Cricetulus griseus: one gene and its partner. The protein of the gene in region 1 purifies or fractionates together with the protein of each later gene. This does not show direct contact. Links are inferred from orthologs where the notes say so. Each region holds a gene or a part of one and is shown in the gene's direction. Other genes may lie near its edges. The genes, in order: Rbm28 and Rexo4.

Evidence for each region.
Region 2: the proteins of Rbm28 (region 1) and Rexo4 purify together in Homo sapiens (affinity purification with mass spectrometry; 3 studies listed by BioGRID and IntAct, with this or other methods). This does not show direct contact. The link is inferred for Cricetulus griseus from reciprocal best matches to the Homo sapiens genes RBM28 and REXO4.

What each region holds. Positions count from the first base shown.
Region 1 is NW_023276806.1:198,680,229-198,688,895, forward strand, and holds the end of Rbm28 (RNA-binding protein 28), read left to right. Parts: coding exon 1-26; intron 27-328; coding exon 329-403; intron 404-3,660; coding exon 3,661-3,914; intron 3,915-4,951; coding exon 4,952-5,051; intron 5,052-7,607; coding exon 7,608-7,742; 3' UTR 7,743-8,090; downstream 8,091-8,667. UniProt on the Homo sapiens protein: Nucleolar component of the spliceosomal ribonucleoprotein complexes.
Region 2 is NC_048599.1:138,642,543-138,651,856, reverse strand, and holds the start of Rexo4 (RNA exonuclease 4), read left to right. Parts: upstream 1-3,272; 5' UTR 3,273-3,602; coding exon 3,603-3,800; coding exon of another isoform or gene 3,801-3,816; intron 3,817-5,814; coding exon 5,815-6,158; intron 6,159-7,670; coding exon of another isoform or gene 7,671-7,686; intron 7,687-7,725; coding exon 7,726-7,866; intron 7,867-8,064; coding exon 8,065-8,258; intron 8,259-8,773; coding exon of another isoform or gene 8,774-8,780; intron 8,781-9,314.

The sequences.
Region 1 (8,667 bases):
ACCCAGAAATCTTTGGCTCTCAGAAGGTAAGCCTCAGCCTCCAGGGAGACCCCATTTTTCTGAGGGTTTAACTGTTCAGTGCCCCCGATATTTGAATGGTGGGAAGAGTACCAAGTGGTCTGGGTGGAGGTGGGGAAAATAGATGGTAACTCTAGGCAAGAAGATGCTTATAAAATGAGTAGACTGGACGGACTGCCTACAGAACTGGCATTAAAGAAGACGTGAGAAGCAGCCTCCATGTTTACAGAGGCTGGGTGGAAGGACCAAGTAGGCTTATTGCACTCACAGGTTACAAAGTCTTACGAATGACATTCTGTCTCCCTGACAGAGACCGATAGTGGAGTTCTCTTTAGAGGATCGAAGGAAACTTAAAGTAAAGGAGCTGAGGATCCAACGCAGCCTGGTATTGAACCTAAATGTTTGATTGGGTTTGGTTTTGTCATCTATCTATGTATCTATCTATCTATCTATCTATCTACCTACCTACCTACCTATCTATGGTGTGTGTTGGGGGTGGGGGGAGAAAATGCCTTTGTGTCTGTACCTTTTCTTCTGGAGGTCAGAAGACAACTTGGGGACGTTGGTTTTCTCTTTCTACCATGTGTGTCTTGGGATTGAACTCAGGCCATTGGGCTTGGTGGCAAGTGCCTTTACTTGCTGAGCCATCTTACTAGGCTTTGTTTGTTTGGTTTTGGTTGTTTATGACAATCTCACTGGGTAGCTCTAGCTAACCCAGAACTCTCAAAGATGTCTCTGCCTCAACTGCTGGGATTTAAGGTGTATGCTGTCATATCCAGCCCTTTTTTTTTTTTTTTTTAGAGCTTAATTAAACTTCCTTTTTTAAATTTGTGCTTCTGCGAAGTAGGATTTTACTCAGTTTCTCCTAAGACTCCCTGGTGTTTTCTTCTTTGCTGTCTCTCTTCTGAGCTGCACAGAAGGGCAAGATAGGAGGAATGCAAACCGATGTTCCGATCCATCATGAGCTCTTGTATGGTGTGTGGGGGCCGTGTCAAAACTAGTGGCTCAGGTTAAGTTTCAGAATCATCATCTGAGACAGGGGCTCCCTTTGTCGTCTAAACTTGTCTTGAACTCAAAATCCTCCAGTCTCAGCATGACACTGGGTATTTTTAGATCATTTCAGTTAGTGTGGAGAGAGGAGTACCTGTGGCCTTCATGGAGAACCTGGGGTCCTATCCTTGTACATGCCAACTCTTTACCCCAGATAATATTGCCTTTAGCCAAGGCTTCAGGGGGGTTTCTGAAGCTGCCTGTGTTTTCTTTGAATTCTTTGTTTCCTGTGTTTATTCTCATACTGCACTTTCATTATAAAGTGGTCTGTTCTCCTGACTTACAGGGCCATTTCTCACTTTCCTCATTCACAGCAAGTGAACCTTCCACTATAAGATAAGCCCTCATTACATAGGCTTCCATCAACTTCCTTGATTATTTGTTTTTTATTTTATTTATGTGTGTCTTCTTTTAGTTACTGTTTTATCGCTGTGATAAAACACCATGACCGAAAGCAGCTTAGGAAAGGGAGAGTTTATTTGGGCTCATGCTTCTGAAGGGTAGGACCCCATCCTGGCAGGGAGGCCTAGCAACAAGCAGCAGGCATGACCACAGAGGAGGAAGCTGAGAGCCCACACCCTCAACTGCAAGCCTCAAGCAAACTGGAATCAGGGCACGCCTATGAACTCTCAAAGCCTGCCCTTGCTAGTGTTTTCCTTCACTGTACCTCTTTAACCTTCCCAAACTGTACCGGGCTTTTTCCTTTAGGCCACTAACCAGCTCCCAAATCATGACACAGAGATTTATTAGTAGTTTGGAATGCTCGGCTTAGCTTAGGCTCATTTCTGCTAGCTCTTTTAACTTAAATGAACCTGTTTCTTCTTATCTACCTTTTGGCTTGAGGCTTATTACCTTTCTCACTTCTTTTTTTTTTTAATTTTATTTATTTATTGTATTATGTATTCAATATTCTGTCTGCATGTATGCCTGCAGGTCAGAAGAGGGCACCAGATCTCATTACAGATGGTTGTGAGCTACCATGTGGTTGCTGGGAATTGAACTCAGGACCTCTGGAAGAGCATTCAGTGCTCTTAACCTCTGAGCCACCTCTCTCCAGCTCCCACCTCTTTCTCACTTCTATATATCTGTCTTTCACTGCTTCTGTATGTCTGGCGCCCCCCCCCCCCCCCCCGTCTTGCCCTAGGGGCATGTCCTTCATTCTCTCCTCTCTTCTCCTTCCTCTTCTAGATACTAGATTTCTCCTATTTATTCTCTCTGCCTGCCAACCTCACTCCATCCTGTTGGCTGTTCAGCTTTTTATTAGACCAATCAGTTACCTTAGACAGGCCAGGTGAAACAAATGCAACACACGTTTACGAAATTAAACAAATGTAGCATAAGCAAATGTGCATCTTTGCCTAATTAAAATAATATTCTACAACCAACACCATCTGGGGACCAAGCGTTTAGACACCTAAGTCTGGGGGATATTTTCATTCACACCACCACATGTCTTTTATTTACACTAGTCTGGGAATCCTAAAAGTAAACATTTTGTTGTTTGTAACTGTATCTTACAGACAGACTAGTGCACAGTAGGCATTTAATTAATATTGTATCAACATGCCTATTTAGATTAAATTACAAATGGCAAAATAACATTTATTTTTACATTCATTTTACTTGACTCTTTTTCCTAGATCAGTGCTGGTAAACCTTCAACATCCTTATGCTTGCATTTGAAGCTCTAGCATCCCTTTGCCTTCCTTCCTTCCTTCACTGACCCCATCTCTGACATTCTTACCTTCATGTTGACCTAGGTTTTCAGTTTATGCCATTTCCGGTCTCGGGAGGAATTTGTGTAGCATTTCTTGCAAAACAGATTTCCTGGCAATTGTTTTTTGTTTGTTTGGTTTGGTTTTTATCTGAGACAGTCATTCACTTTTGTGAAAGATAATTTCATTGGGTACAGAATCTAGATTTGGTAATTTTGTCTTTTGGAACCTCAGCTACCTCATGCTATCTTCTGTTTCTATACATTGTTTACTGCAAAGTGACTGATAAATCTAGTTGTGGAGCTTGGGGTGTTTGTTTTGTTGGTTTTCTCTCAGCTCTTAGAGCTCTGGCTTAATGTCTGTCAGTGTTTTGAAATTTCCTAGCTGTATTATGTTAAGTAGTTCTCAGTTGCTTTGTTTCTGCTGCTGTGTTACACTGTGTGTGTGTGGCGGGGGGGGTGGGGGGGGGTGGGGGGGGGCAGGTGTTTTTTGAAACAGAATCTCAAATAGCCCAGATCCATTCCTTCCTTCCCAGTGACTAGGATTCCAGGTGTGTGTTGTCATGCCTGGCCCAGGATTCACTTTTGACAGTTGTTCCTTCCTACTGCTTTTGAATCTTGGGCTACTGCTTAATGTTTCTGGGTTTGGTTTTGTTGGTTTTGTTTTGAGATGGGGGGAGAGAAGAGAGAGGAGAGAGAGTGTGTGTATGTCTGCCCTGCAGTGGTGTGAACTGCTTTGTATGTACTTTGCTGAAGTCTCCAACTCTGTGGAGGAAGAGTCCCTCTTTCAGCACACCCAACAGCAGGCTCATCCTCTGCTGCGTATTCATCAGGTAACCTCATCCAGAAACCAGGTGGCAATTTCTTGTTTTCTGCAGCAAAAAATGTCATCTAAGCCTGTAACCGGTAAGCCCCAAAAGGAGCAAAAAGAACATGGGAAAGACAAGCAACAGAAAGCAGTGAGGCCTACACAGAATCCCAGCCAGGCTTCTGGAGAGCAGAAAGGGAAGGCCCGCCCCACCTCGTGGACAGGGTTCCAGACCAAGGCTGAAGTGGAGCAGGTGGAGCTGCCTGATGGGAAGAAGAGAAGAAAGGTCCTGGCACTCCCTTCACACCGAGGCCCCAAAATTAGGTGAGATGCAGGAGAGCTCTGTAGAGGAGGGAGCTTCTAAGTGCATTTGTCTTGATGCAGCTCTTTTTCTCTGTAGCATTTGTTAGATGAAGAGGGTGTTGGGGCGGTGCTAGTTCCCCATGCGAAGTTAACAGAAAGGTCTCAGCCCCAGCAGAAATGTTGCCTTGGATCAGATGGTAGAGGGAACCTTGGAGGAACCATCAGGGCAGACTGCATGCCATCCTTGTCTTTTCAGAGCTTTTCATGTCAGCTGAGGGTCGCTTATTCTTTCTCTTTGGGACCGTAGATTAGTGTTATGTACATTCAGTGCTGTGACAGTAGATTAGTGCTATGTATCTTAAAAAAAAAAAATCTTGAACCACCACACACCATTATATCCCGCCCCCCAAAAAAAATCTTGGTAAGTAAATGATAGTTTTCGTGATTTCCATTGAAGTCTTAGCAAAAATAAATAGAGACAAACGAATATATAACTATTGTGACTTAGGATATATATACGGTTGTAGACTCCATTTAAGAGTGACTAAGCCAGGTGGTTATGGTGCACACCTTTAGTCCCAGTACTTGGGCATCAGAGGCAGGCGGATCTCTGAATTCAAGGTCAGCCTGGTCTACAGATCTAGTTCCAGGACAGCCAGGGCTACATAGAGAAACCTATCTTGAAAAAACAAACAAAAAAGAAACAGCTATGTATTAAAGAAATTTGTCTCTTGAGTTCTTTAAAAGATTCCAAGGATGGGGCTAGAGAGATGGCTCAGTGGTTAAGAGCACTGACTGCTCTTCCAGAGGACCCAAGGTTCAATTTCCAGTACTCACATGGCAGCTCACAACTGTCTGTAACTCCAGTTCTTGGGAACCCAACATCCATGGCAAAACAGCAATGCACATTAAATAAATTAAATTAAATAAGGAGAGAGAGAGAGAGAGAGAGAGAGAGAGAGAGAGAGAGAGAGAGAGAGAGAGAGAAAGAGAGAGAGGCTAAGGATACTAACCAGAGAAAGAATTAATGCAGCATATACCTGGCTGTCTTATTTCAGGTTGCGGGACAAAGGCAAAGTGAAGTCCCTTCCTCCTAAGAAGTCAAAGCCCCAGACAGGCCAGCGGAAACAGAAGCAGCAGCAGTTACCTTCTTTGCAGGTGAGTTCCGTGGGGCTTGTGGTTTGGGTGCTGTGGCTTTGTGGGACTGAGCAGATCGTCACCTTTCTGAAGTAAGGCTTCTCCGTTCCGGGCTGCAGCTCTTCAGAGGGTGAGGTTCAGTAATGGAGAGGAAAGTAAGCCTCTATGACTTGTCGATCTGCTTGAGCAGTTATCTTGTGTTTCCTGTTTCCTGTACCTGCTTTCCCCCTCTGCAGTGTATGGAAGCAAATCCTACACGTAAATATATCTCAATAGATAGATTGCTCAGAAAAACTTGAGACTACATTTCTAATGGCCAACTCGTCACACAAACACACGCACAATGTCATTATCGTATCTACTGAGATTAATCAGAAGCTCCTTATACTCTCTAATATATAGCCCCTATTAAAATGTTCCTAATTGCCTCAACAGTGTTCTTTATTTTTGGTTAGTGCCTGTTAGGATGCTAACAAAGTCCACACATGACATTTGTGGTATCCCTTCCTCCTTCCCTGCCTTCCTTTCTTCATCCTATGGTGTTTATCCTTTCTTACCACATTCTTTCTCCCCGTGTTGGTGTTGTTAATTTGTTGGATAAACAGTCATTTGTCTTTAAGGATGTATTTTATGTTGAGTTCAGCTGCTTACTTCCTTATGGTATCATGTCACTTGTCCCCGGGGCACCTTGTCTTGACTGTCAGCTGGTAGAACAGTCTAGAGGTATAACCAGATTTAGTTTTCTTGGAAAGAACACTTCACTGTTAGTAATGCCAAGATCAGTCAGTAGGTGTCAGAATTGTCCACTTTATTGTTCTATTGAGAAAATCCCCTCCCATCTTCTCAGTTACTGTTTAGTTTTTTGGCTTTGCAGTGCTAGGGGTCTGACCCAAGGCTGTTAACAGAGTTTCTGTTCTGCCTAGTCCTGCTTCCGTTTAGCCCCAGATAAACACACAGGTTTATATTAATTATAAACTGTTTGGCCAATGGCTTAGACTTCTAAATGGCCAGCTCTCTCTTAATTACTAACCCATAAATATTAATCTGTGCATTTCTACATGGCCTTATCTTACCGGAGAATGCCCAGTGTCCTATCTTCCCTGTAGCTCCAAGGTGTTCTTCTCTGTTTCTCTTCCCAGCATTCTCCTTGTTTGGCAGCCCCACTATACTTCCTGCCTGGCTGCTGGCCAGTCAGCATTTTACTAAACCAATGAGAGAAACATATATTTACAGCATACAGGCAGGACATCCCCCATCACAAGGCTGCTGTCATGCTTAGAAAGTGCTCTACTGTTGACCTATGTCCCTAACTGCTCACCTTTGGCTTTTAAAAACAAGGGATTATCATGTACACCTGTGATTTCATAATGGGTTACAGAATGGTGATTTTCCAATTAAGACAGCCCCTTTGCACTTAAAAATAGAGTTCTAAGACTTGTAGAAAGGAGACTCTTACATATAGGAAAGACAAGTTAGATGATTTTTTTTCCTTCCTCTTGCTCTATCAGTTTCAGAGAAGTGAACTGCTATGTGGCTTGTGAGGCTGGTGTGTGTGTGTGTGTATGTATGTATGTATGTATGTATGTATGTATGTCTGTATTAAGTATTATGGAATCCCAAATTTTCCTGTAACTCACTGTGTTTCAATCAAATGTGGTCATCATTCTTGTTCTAAGGCAACAGAAGCATCTTTGGGTCGGCTCCCTGTCCTTCTGAAATGACCTTGTCTGTCTTTGGTAATGTTGCTTTCTTGTACAAGATGTTCTAGGCCCATCTTATGTGGTTTCTTTCCCAGTTTCTGGCAATAGCCATTTTCCCAAGGAGCTCTAGTTCTTTTGAATAGAAATTAATGGTCCTGTGCTCTATTTTTTTTTTTTTTTAAATAAAGACATTCTTTTATATGTATGGGTCTCTTGCCTGCATGTATGTCTCTGTACTGCAGACATGGGTGATGTGACAGAGACCAGAAGAGGGCATTGAATCCCCTAGGTCTGGAGATACAGGTGGTTTTTTGATGCATTGTGGGTACTGGAAACAGGTTCTGGATCCTCTGGAAGAGCAGCCAGTGCCTTTAACCCTGAGCCATCTCTCCAGCTCTAGTCCTGGGTTCTTGTGCATTTGAGGTCAAGCTTTCTCTTCCTTCCCTCTAAGAGTAGAAGAGTCACTAGCACCCTGTCCTACTCAAATCTGTCTGTGGGAAATTTCTGACCATATCATATTATGTTGTAGAGATCTAGTCTCTGAAATTTTATAAATGGAATTCTTGGGGCAAGAGCAAACAAGGATGTTCAAATTAGGTTTCTCTTTAGAAATCGTCTTCCTAGTGTACCAGCTTATATTCTGTTTGGGGTGTCTTGACAGTAAGGTGATATTTAGTGTTTGAAATTAACTAAGCATGGTGGTCCTTTAAAGGAGGATAGATGAGGGTCAGGAGTTCAAGGTCCTCCTCAAGTATAGAGTGAGTTTCAGGTCTGTAGAAAAGAAGGCAGGCAAGTAAGAAAACAAGAAAGCAAAGGGAGGGAGGGAAAGAAAGAAAAAGGGAAAGACTGATTGTTTTATGTCTCCTGTTTTTCACAGGCACCTAAGAAGAAAGCTAAGGAAAATAAGGCAGAAGCCCACTTCAACCAACTGGTTGAACAGTATAAGCAGAAATTGTTGGGTCCTTCTAAGGGACCACCCCTTATGAAGAGAAGCAAGTGGTTTGATACTTGATGCCGCCTGCAGAAAGCTGTGTCTTTCACAGAGGGGAAGTGCATCCCGATGATACCCCATTCTTGGGGACTCTGTAGGGTGTGTACATTCTTGGTCCCTTCTCCAGCATGGGAGGAAAACATACCTGAAAACACCGTGGAGTTTTTACATCTCATCCATATTGCTGAAACTGTGCATATAATTGTAATTCATTTCTATTTTCTTCTTTGATGGAAACTATTGTAAAAAAGTGTTTTGAAGTACTGAATTTTTAAGATGCCTATTTTGTTATGGAATCTGTAAATGAGCAATTGTGACTTTTGGATGTGTCTCATTTTTAATATACCAAATATATTATTTATGAGTGAACATTTTTAACATTTTTAATTCAGTTAGATAGTCTATAAGAGCTAAGAACAGAGAAAAATGTTTACTAACGTGGTCTTTGAATGTGGTACACATTTGACTTGTAACTGAAGGCCCTGGGCCTGGTACAAGCATCACCTACTAAGTGTCTGCCCCTGGAGGCGTAATGCTGGCTAGAAATCAGATTGCAGTGGCTAGACACTCCCTGACCAAGGATGGCCCAAGTGTATCCCACGGAGCACTGTGTCCTGGGGACTGAGAGCCCATGGGAAAGCAGTGGGCATGAGGCTTAGCTTCTACCCTAAGTGCTGAGGAGGTGGCAGAGTCTTAGTTTAGTCATCCTAAATAAAGGATTGAACTAAATGTTCTCCTGGTTGTTCCCTGCCCTACATACTTTTAAAATGCTTTTTACCATACTTTCTCTCTTCTAAAGAAAACTGGGGTGGAGAGTGTGAGTATCAGGGAGAGTCAAGGTCCACCGGATGCTGGTGCTACCAAGATGAAACACAGTGGGGGCAAACAAATCCTGAGCTGTACAATTTCTGATACAGTTGTGGAGCAGATCAAGTCTGTCACCTCA
Region 2 (9,314 bases), on another chromosome or scaffold:
AGACCAAATATGTTATAGGTCTAGGAGGAAAACGACTACTATTATTCTGCTAAAGGAGCCTAGCAATAAAATGACTCCTAATGACATATTACTATACCCATAAATCAGTGCATCTCATCTCCATCAGAGACACTTCTCGCTGTAGATGTGAATTAACATAGAGAACAACTGGACAATGTGTAAACAGTGAGAGACTTCAGAGCACTTAGCCCTAAATGGGATGTCAAAATCTTCCCCTCAAGGCTCAGGCATCTATTTGGAAGAGGAGGTGGGAAGAATATAAGAGAGCCAGTGAATGACTCCAACAAAACAGTGTCTTTCAGATTAAAACACGACTCATACAAACTCACAGAGACTGAGACACCATTCATAGGGCCTGCAAAGGTTCAAGCCAGACAAAATCCTAGCACTGAGTGAAAGACCCCCGAAGGGATACTTTTGTAGAGGGAGACTCACACCCAGGAATCAGCGAGGCCACGAACTGGATGTAAAAACAAGAGGCTTTATTGGAGACGCGGGTACCCGGGGCGACTTAGCTTTTCTGAGGCCAAGCGCGCCGAGCCAAGGGAAAGGGGTCCTTATATAGGGAAAAAGGCGCAAGCTAGGAGCAGGGATTCTATTTGATGGTTCAAATGAGGCACAGAGCCATTCCAGATCAGCATATTCTCAAGGTCTGGTGTCTGGTACAACAGACTTGATTCCTCCCTCCGCGCCCAGGTGGCTGACCTTGGGGGCGGAGACCTTGGGACGGAGTGTTTCTCAACGGGGGGGGGCGTGGGGGCGAGGGGTGCCCTTTCCCTGCTCGGCCCCAGCCCCGGCGCGGTGCCAGGGCAGCCCCGCCTGGGTGAACCGGCTTGGGAGGGAAAACGGCAGCCGGGGGAAGTGGAGGCCGGCGGGGGCAGGGACAGCAGGATGAAGGTGAAGCAGGGCGGCTCTGCGGCAGCTCGCAGCTCCCGGACAATTATCGCCCCGCGCTGCACTCTCCAGCCCCTGGCCGTATCCTGGCTCTGCCCTGCTCCAGAGAGAACACCCAGCATCAGCATAGGCGGGGGGGAGACAGAGAGGCAGCGGGCCTTTCATGAGAAAGAGGAAGTAGACACAAAGTCCCACCCCTAACCAGGAAGTCATTTGTGATTGTTAACTTGCTGGGAAAGGTAAGGTAAGTTTTCTTCAGTGGAACGTCATTAGGTATATTAATCATACTCCAGGACAGGCTCAATGTCCAGGAGCAGTTGGCCACATAAAACAGACTCCATGGGGTTTTCCGTGGGCTTTTTGTTTTGTTTTGTCATTTGCATTTATTTTGATTTTAGTTCTGGTGAGAGACAGGGGAGGGAGAAAGAACCTGCAGCTGGGTGCAGAGTGAGAAGGGGGAGGATATGGAAAGAGGTGATGGAAGGAACAATAATCAAAATTGTATTGCATGAAAAAATTAAAGAAGGAAATAGCATGAATATTGACATTACAGGCCACAGAACTCAACAAATTAATTAAAATCCCAGTTCCTAGGATGAAAGTATAAAGGTAGAGGGAGTACTTGAGTAGTATGTGTAAAACCTTGGGTTTGATAGCACCAACAGAAAATTGGAAATAAATAAATCCTAGCTCCACCATAGTAACTATGTGACCTTGAACAAATTACTTAGATTTTTCTGACCTATTTTTCCATCAGTAAAAGTTAGTATTAAAACAGACATTTTTGGCTGGGCGTTGGTGGCGCCACGCCTTTAATCCCAGCACTCAGGAGGCAGAGGCAGGCAGATCTCTGTGAGTTCGAGGCCAGCCTGGTCTCCAGAGCGAGGACCAGGATCCGCTCCAAAGCCACACAGAGAAACTCTGTCTCGAAAAACCAAAAAAACCAAAAAAACAAAACAAAACAAAAACAGACATTTTGAAGGTGCGTGGTAGCACACACCTTTAATTCCAGCACTTGGGAGATAAAGACAGGCAGATCTATGCTAACCTGATCTACAAGCAAGTTCCAGCCCAGTTGAGCTACATAGTAAAAACCCAAAAACCCCGGCTCAAAAAAAAAAAAAAAAAAAGTGCCTCATCCAGTAGCTGGTGGAAGCAGAAGCAGACACTCACAGCTACACATGAGCTGAACTCTGGAATCCAGTTGCAGAGAGGGAGGCGTGATGAGCAAAGGGGTCAAGACCAGGCTGGAGAAACCCACAGAAACAGCTGACCTGAACAAGGGGTTGTTCATGGACCCCAGACTGATAGCTGGGAAACCAGAATGGGACTGTTCCAGACTCCCTGAATGAGGATTTCAGTTTGGAGGTCTGGTTAATCTGTGGGGCCTCTGGTAATGGATCATTATTTATCCCTAGTACAGGAATGGACTTTGGGAGCCCTCTCCACATAGAGGGATACTCTCTCAGCCTAGATACACTGGGAGGGTCTAGGTCCTGCTCCAAATATGACAGATTTTGAAGATCCCCCATGGAAGGCCTCACACCCCCTGGGGAGTAGAATAGGGTTGGGATTGGGGATCAGTGGGGGGCAGGGGAGGGAGAGGGAACTGAGATTGACATGTAAAAGGAGCTTGTTTCTAATTTAAATTTTAAAAAGCACCACTTCATGTATTGTTGAAATTACATAAATCAAAGTGTGTAAAAGCAATTGTCACGCAGTGAATGCTCAATAAATGAAAGGTTTGGTTACTACCAAGAGGTCATACCCAGAGGACATTCTGTAATAAGAAATGAGTAATCATGAAATGTGATTGTGTTCTAAGCAGACAGTACCTTGAGAGGGGAAAAATACCCACTTCGATTCTAGATCTCGAACTACCACGGATAACTATGCAAGTGCTAAATTTGCAATTTACAAAACTTCGTTTCTCTCCTAGTCATTGAACTCATCTGGATTCCTTGGGTCTTTAACTTAAGTAGAGAGGGATGCCAAACATGTTTGGCACAGGGGTTCTCACCACCTCCACCAAGTGTCTCCCTGACCTTCCTAAGTGGCCTGTGGACTTGCTGTACTTCTCAAACGAACGAAGGTGGAGGCCTCATCTGTGTAAATTAAGGGTCAAGCATGGATTGCTGGTCATTTATTAAGGCGGAGGTTAAGAAAAATATATGTACATTTTCACAATTAAAATCTTGTTTTATCATTGCTCTCAAAAATAACTGGCTTGCCACGCAGCCGTAAGATTCGGTAAACAGGACTAGCAATGCGGTCTGGCTGTGCAACCCTCAAAAGCTCCGCCCGAGCTCCTTCCGGCCTCCCGCGCGGTGCCACACCAGGAGTGGTCCTCCAAGTCTTTTCCGGTGTCGCTGCTTCTCATCATTCCCGCCCTCTGATGACTCCTAATTTTGGTAAAGGCCTGGGGTCCCTTCTGTCAAACTCTGGGTCCTCAGCCGCGGCGCCACTCACCAGAGCCGGCAGCCTGTATGGTGTTAACTGGCGGACCTGTTGCCCACTTCCCATGCGTGCGGAACCAGAGGTGCAGACTCGGTTTCCAGCAGATTGCGAAGAGAAGCGCTATCCGGGCTTCCTCAAGCGCTGTGGAGGTACTTTTGCGGGTGTGCTTCCGCCGTCGCCACTGAGTTCGAGTCTCTTCCCTCCTGGGTCGGGCTGCTGAGAACGACAAGATGAAGGCGAAGGCCACGGCGCCGGTTTCCCAACCTGAGCCTATCAAGGAGCTCGTTCGGAAGAAAGCCAGGAAGAGGTTCAGGAAGAGCAAAGCGCAGGGAGGAAGCGTGGCCCCGGGAAGCCTCCCAGCAGCTGTCGCAGTCCGACCGCCAAAGGCCCCAGAGAACTTTTCTCAAAATTGGAAGGCGCTGCAAGAGGTGAGACTGGCGACAGGCCACCTTCATCCCAGACTTTTGGTCGGGTAGCCACAGACCACGAAGGAGAACTGTGGGTGATTCCAAAACGTGGAAGGGCTGGCCGCTCCACATTGCGCAGACTCCTTCACAGGAACATCGGCCTTGTAGGCACGGCAGTAGTGCAGTTGTGGCTGTCTGGCCTTTTGACAATTTTAGTAGTGGCCGATGCTTCTATATACTATACAAGTTGCTCTTTGCTTTACTCAAATTATTATTTTTTCAATCATAAATCCCATATCTTGGTTGCTACCCTGCCAACGTCTTAAACTATATCCCAGAACTCTGGCCCCGACTACTCTGGAACTTGTGTAGCTCAGGGTTTTCCTGCACTAGTGGTAGTCCTCCTATGTTAGGTAGCCTCCCAAATGCTGGGATGACTGGTGTGAACCACTATATCAACCCTCACTCATACATTTTTACATTCTTGTGAGGTGCTTTTACTGTCCTTGTTTCTTAGATGGGGAAATTGAGACAGAGAGCATAGCATATAAACAGCAGAACTGGGTTACTGGCCATGCGTTTTGATCTGTTAAACTACAGGTATTCCTCTGGAGTGTATGCTATGGAGCCTCAGTTAATAAGAAAGAGTACAGACATTCTTGAGGTCCATAGCACTCCACCTTGTTCCTTTGTGTGGATTTTCCTGTCTGGACACACAGGACCAGCCAAACCCTGTGGACAGTTCTGTAAGCCAGTTCTTGTTTTTTTCTCCTAAGATAAAGTAAAATTAAATGTGTGGAATGCATATTTACTATAGGGAACTTTGAGTTGGCTCTGGTTTCTACAAGAATCTTAAACCCATTGTATCATCTCAGTTGTTTACCATCTTGCTGTGGTCTTAATTGGGGATTTGAATACACAGAAGAAATTGCTCTCCTAGCCTCTGCCTGGATAAGATCAAAGCTATGGCTCTTCTCACCATCCGTTGTTATGGGGTTTCTTCCTGCAAGGTCTGAGTAAACAGACCTAAGTAAACACACAGATGCTATATTAATTATAAAACTGTTGGCCGATGGCTAAGGCTTCTTACTGGCTAGCTCTGTCTATTTCCATTAATCTAAGTATTTCCACGTGGTCTTATCTTACCGGAGAATGGTCCGGACCTGTTCCCCTTCCTCTGCTACATGGCGAGCCTTTCCAGTGCTTCTCTGCCTACCTTTGCCAGAATTCTCCTTGTCTCCTAGCCCCGCCTATCTTCCTGCCTCTATCTACCAAACAGTGTTTTATTCATCAACCAATAAGAGAAACATATATACAGAAGGACATCTCCCATCAAACCATCTATGGTTTGACATGATTTCTTTCTTTCCATTGAACTCCCTTCCCTTGGGTCTTCCTCAGACCCTGAGGTGTAGCCAACCTCCAGAGACAGTGTAAAGGAGGTGTTCATTGTGTCCTTGAGTGTTGACCATGAATCACTCTAAATGCAACTTCTTATGAAAGAAGTGAAAATGATGCTCCTGCCCCAGGCTTAATGAAGTGCTCTGGTGTATTCAGTCACTCGGGTACACATGGTATAGAGCTTGAAATGCAGAGTGCAAAAGCAGCATTGCTGGGTTATGCATTGTAATAAGCAGAGGAAAGGAATCTCAATGCCAGTAAACCAGGCTTTTCCAGGGGCTGGAGAGATGGCTTAGTAATCAAGAATGTGGATACTCTTCCAGAGGATCCTGGTTTCATTTCTGGCATCCATATGGTGATTACAACTGTCTGTGATTTTAGTTGTAGGGGATCCAATGTCCTCTTCTGTCCTCTTTGGGCACCAGGCATGCATTTGGTGCACAGACACATGCAAGCAAAACACCCATGCATATAAAAATAAATTTTTAAAATGCTTTCCCAAATAATTTCCTATTGGGGATGGTGACTGGAGGTGTGTATGTGGATGGTAGATACATTTGCATACAAGTTTCTTTAATCTGGTATGTCAGTTCAGAATTGAAATGTGGCTTGTATTTAATTCTGATCCCATTAGCTGCTGAAACAGAAGTCACAAGCTCCAGAAAAACCTCTTGTCTCTCAGATGGATGACAAAATGCATCCCCAAATAATCCAGCAGAACAAAAAAGAGACTTCAGATAAAGCAAAGGGAGATGGGAAGAGGACAGAAAAAGACCAGACCATTAAGGGTTCTGTTACCGCTCTGTCTAAGAAGGACAGGAAGAGACCTGTACCTCCCACAAATTCCTCTGGACCAGAACAGAAGAAAAGTGCCCAGAAGAGGACATTTAGTGACAACGCTTCTCATCAGGAGGACATCAAGCATAAATGGAAAGCTAAGGAGGTAGCTGTCGTCTTGAATCAGTCCTCACCTACTGAGTGAGTATCAACTCTGCTGTGGTGACTAGTATGTCCTTTGCTGCCTGGGCCACAGATTCAGATGGTCCTTAATGTGCATCTAGCCTCCACTGTCTTCACCGATAAGAAGAAATGACCATTCGGCCCTGGTGCAGTCTTCCTCACCTGACACTATGGTGTTTGTTTTGTTGTTCTCTTGTCACGTGTTTCCCCTAGAGTGTGGGTTGCTGAAGGCAGACTCTATTGTACAGTCAGTGTGGTGTCCTTGGACCCCAACATAGAGCTTGGCATAAGGTAAATTCGAGCAAGAACTTTGGCATAATGTAGGCTGGAACCAGAATGAGTCATGTGAAACCCAGTCCTGCCTCTTGCCAGTTGATGACTTTGGGCTGGTTTCTTTCTCAGTGTGTCCTTCTATATAATTAGGGGGACTGAGGTGCAGCATGTGTTGCTTAGTGTCTTTTGGCTACTTAATGAGCACTGTAGTGACACTTCTCTTGGAATGGATATGCTTATAAGGCAAGCTGGCTCCTGCTATCTGAGCCTTCCCTTCCCTTCCCTTTAGCCTAAACAAAAGCATCTCCTTGGGAACCAGAAGAAGGAAATGTATTTATGAAAGCTTTGTCAAGTCAAGCTAACAGCCCCTGACAGACTACAGGACATAGTACTGAAGGGTAAAGGGATGTGGGCTTGGCTGTCTCTTCTGAGTCATATAGGCAGGCTGACCTAGACGGGCAACATAGGCGTCTTTCCTAAGGCTAATATAAGCAGGGGAGGCACATAGATGTTTACCTGAGCATTTGTAAGGGGGTGGTCAGGGTAGCCTAGTGAAGAAGGCAAAGAACACAAAACAGGAAGCCTGTCAGTTGAGCACTTTTGAGTAATGACATTGAAATCAGGCTAAAAAGCTGGAGTTTACAAAATAGCCGTGGAGCATCCACTATCAATTGTCTTTCTCACTCTTGCAAAATGTGAAGACAGTGCAAGGCATATGTCCCTATCTGTCATGCAGTCCTCCTACCTGTGTGTCTTGATAGCACATCTATTGTTTAATTAGAAAATGTTAGTGGTCCTTCTACTGGTGAGTCACATGTTTCTGTTTTACATTTGTTGTTTTTATCTGTAGTTCCTAAGTCTTGGATAATAGGTATATTTGCAAATTTAAAAGAACAGCGGTGAGGGGCTGAAAAGATGGCTCAGTGGTTAAGAGCACTAGCTGCTGTTTCAGAGGCTTGGATTCCCACATGGAAGCACACAACCTTCTGTAACTCCAATTCCAGGGGATCCCATGCATGCCCTTTTCTGGCCATCACAGGCACCAGGTATGCAAGTAATACTTGCAGGAAAAACACCTATACGAATAAAATAGTCAAGGAAAGAAAGAACAGCAGTAAAAGGGAAGTGCAGCAGCAGGTTCAGCTGGACAGTGTGTGCAGGGGAAATAGTCCTGCAGCCCTCATGGTGCTGCCCTCTCACTGCCAGCCTTCCTGCTCCTCACAGCCTACCAACTGGGCAGAGAGATTCTTTGAATAGGCATCCAGTGCCCCATGTCTTTTCACAGCTAGGTACTCTCATCTTTGCCTCACAGGGAAGACATCTGGTTTGATGATGTGGATCCAGATGATATTGAGGCTGCCATAGGCCCAGAGGCAGCCATGCTGGTACGGAAGCGGCTGGGACAGAAGAGCAAGAGTACCATCTCCCTGGTGAAGGAACAGGCCTTTGGCGGGTAAGCTGTGCTTGGGCCATGACTGCTGGGAATGCTCTGCCTTCTGGGGCTGGAATCTCTCGGGAGGAGAAGGGAGCATTGAGCCATGACTGCCCAGCAGGTCTTAGGGTTGCAAAATGGTGATGAATGGGCTTGGCTCACTGGCCTAGAATCCCAGCCTGTGATATTTATTATACTGGGGCCTTTGGTTCCCCTCAGCCTGACAAAAGCCTTGGCCCTGGATTGTGAGATGGTAGGCGTGGGCCCCAAGGGGGAAGAGAGCATCGCAGCCCGTGTGTCCATCGTGAACCAGTATGGGAAATGTGTTTATGACAAGTACGTCAAGCCAACTGAGCCGGTGACAGACTACAGGACAGCAGTCAGTGGGATACGGCCTGAGAACCTGAAGCAGGGTATGATGCCTGTAGGATTTGAGTTTAGTAATGGGGATGATAGCAGGACTCATTTCTCTCCTTCTTCCCCTTTTGAGTTCTGGAATAAGGCATGACAGAGGTCCTGGCATTTCTTACCTCTTCCCTAGAGTAGCATACTTGCGGATTCAAAAGGTACCTTTCCTGACTGTTGTGTTGTGTCCTGTGTTTGCCTCCTACCCAGGGCAGTGCTCTTGGATTGCTTTCTGTTTTATGGCAGTGAGGGATAAAATGGAGTGTGTTAGGGACTAGGAAGGAAGCCATGAAGGGTGAGTAGGTCACATGGTGGGAACTGGGGGACAGATCACAGGGTGGGAAACTATTACAGTGTTAGCATTGAGGTGTCCAGCAGGATCCTTGGTCATGACATTCAGAATAGGGTTGGAAGTCAGAAAACTGGTTCTGAGGTGTAAATGGAGTTCTTAATTGGTCTAGATAATAAAAAGCCAGAGTCAGATATAGAGGGAAATGCTGAGAGATCAGAGAGAAGGAACAAGCCACAGCGTACCTTACCTCCTTACCGTCTCAGCAGACAAGAGAGTAGTGATTTCTTGTTTCTCCCTGCTTATATCCTGATTCTGCCCAGCTACCTCACTGTCTGTCTGTACAGACCTCCAGACCTCTATGGTTAGCCAATGGCAAGCTCCATTCTCTGACCCTCTGACAGGCTTTATTTGTACAAGCAAGATATTACTACACTGAGGCAGGGGTTGGATAGGGCTAGGTTGCTGGAAGACATAGCAGAGACTGGAGATTTGAGAGACCTGGAGACCACTAGAGATGCAACCTTGTGATCTCTCCCCCAGTCCTCCCTGCACACTCCCTGTTTGTTTATCTTGGTATCCATGGCCAGCAAGGTGGCTCTGTTGCTCCTTGAACCACAGGCTGACCAGCAACTCTTGCTTTCTATCTCAGAAGGGAGGCTGGTCCTATTAGCTCTGAACAAAGTTGGACAGTGAAGTGGATTTGGTAGGAGTGGGGGCAGTGATCCCCAAAGGGTGTCTGCTGGGAAAGAGCAGTAGAGCAGACTCTAGGGTC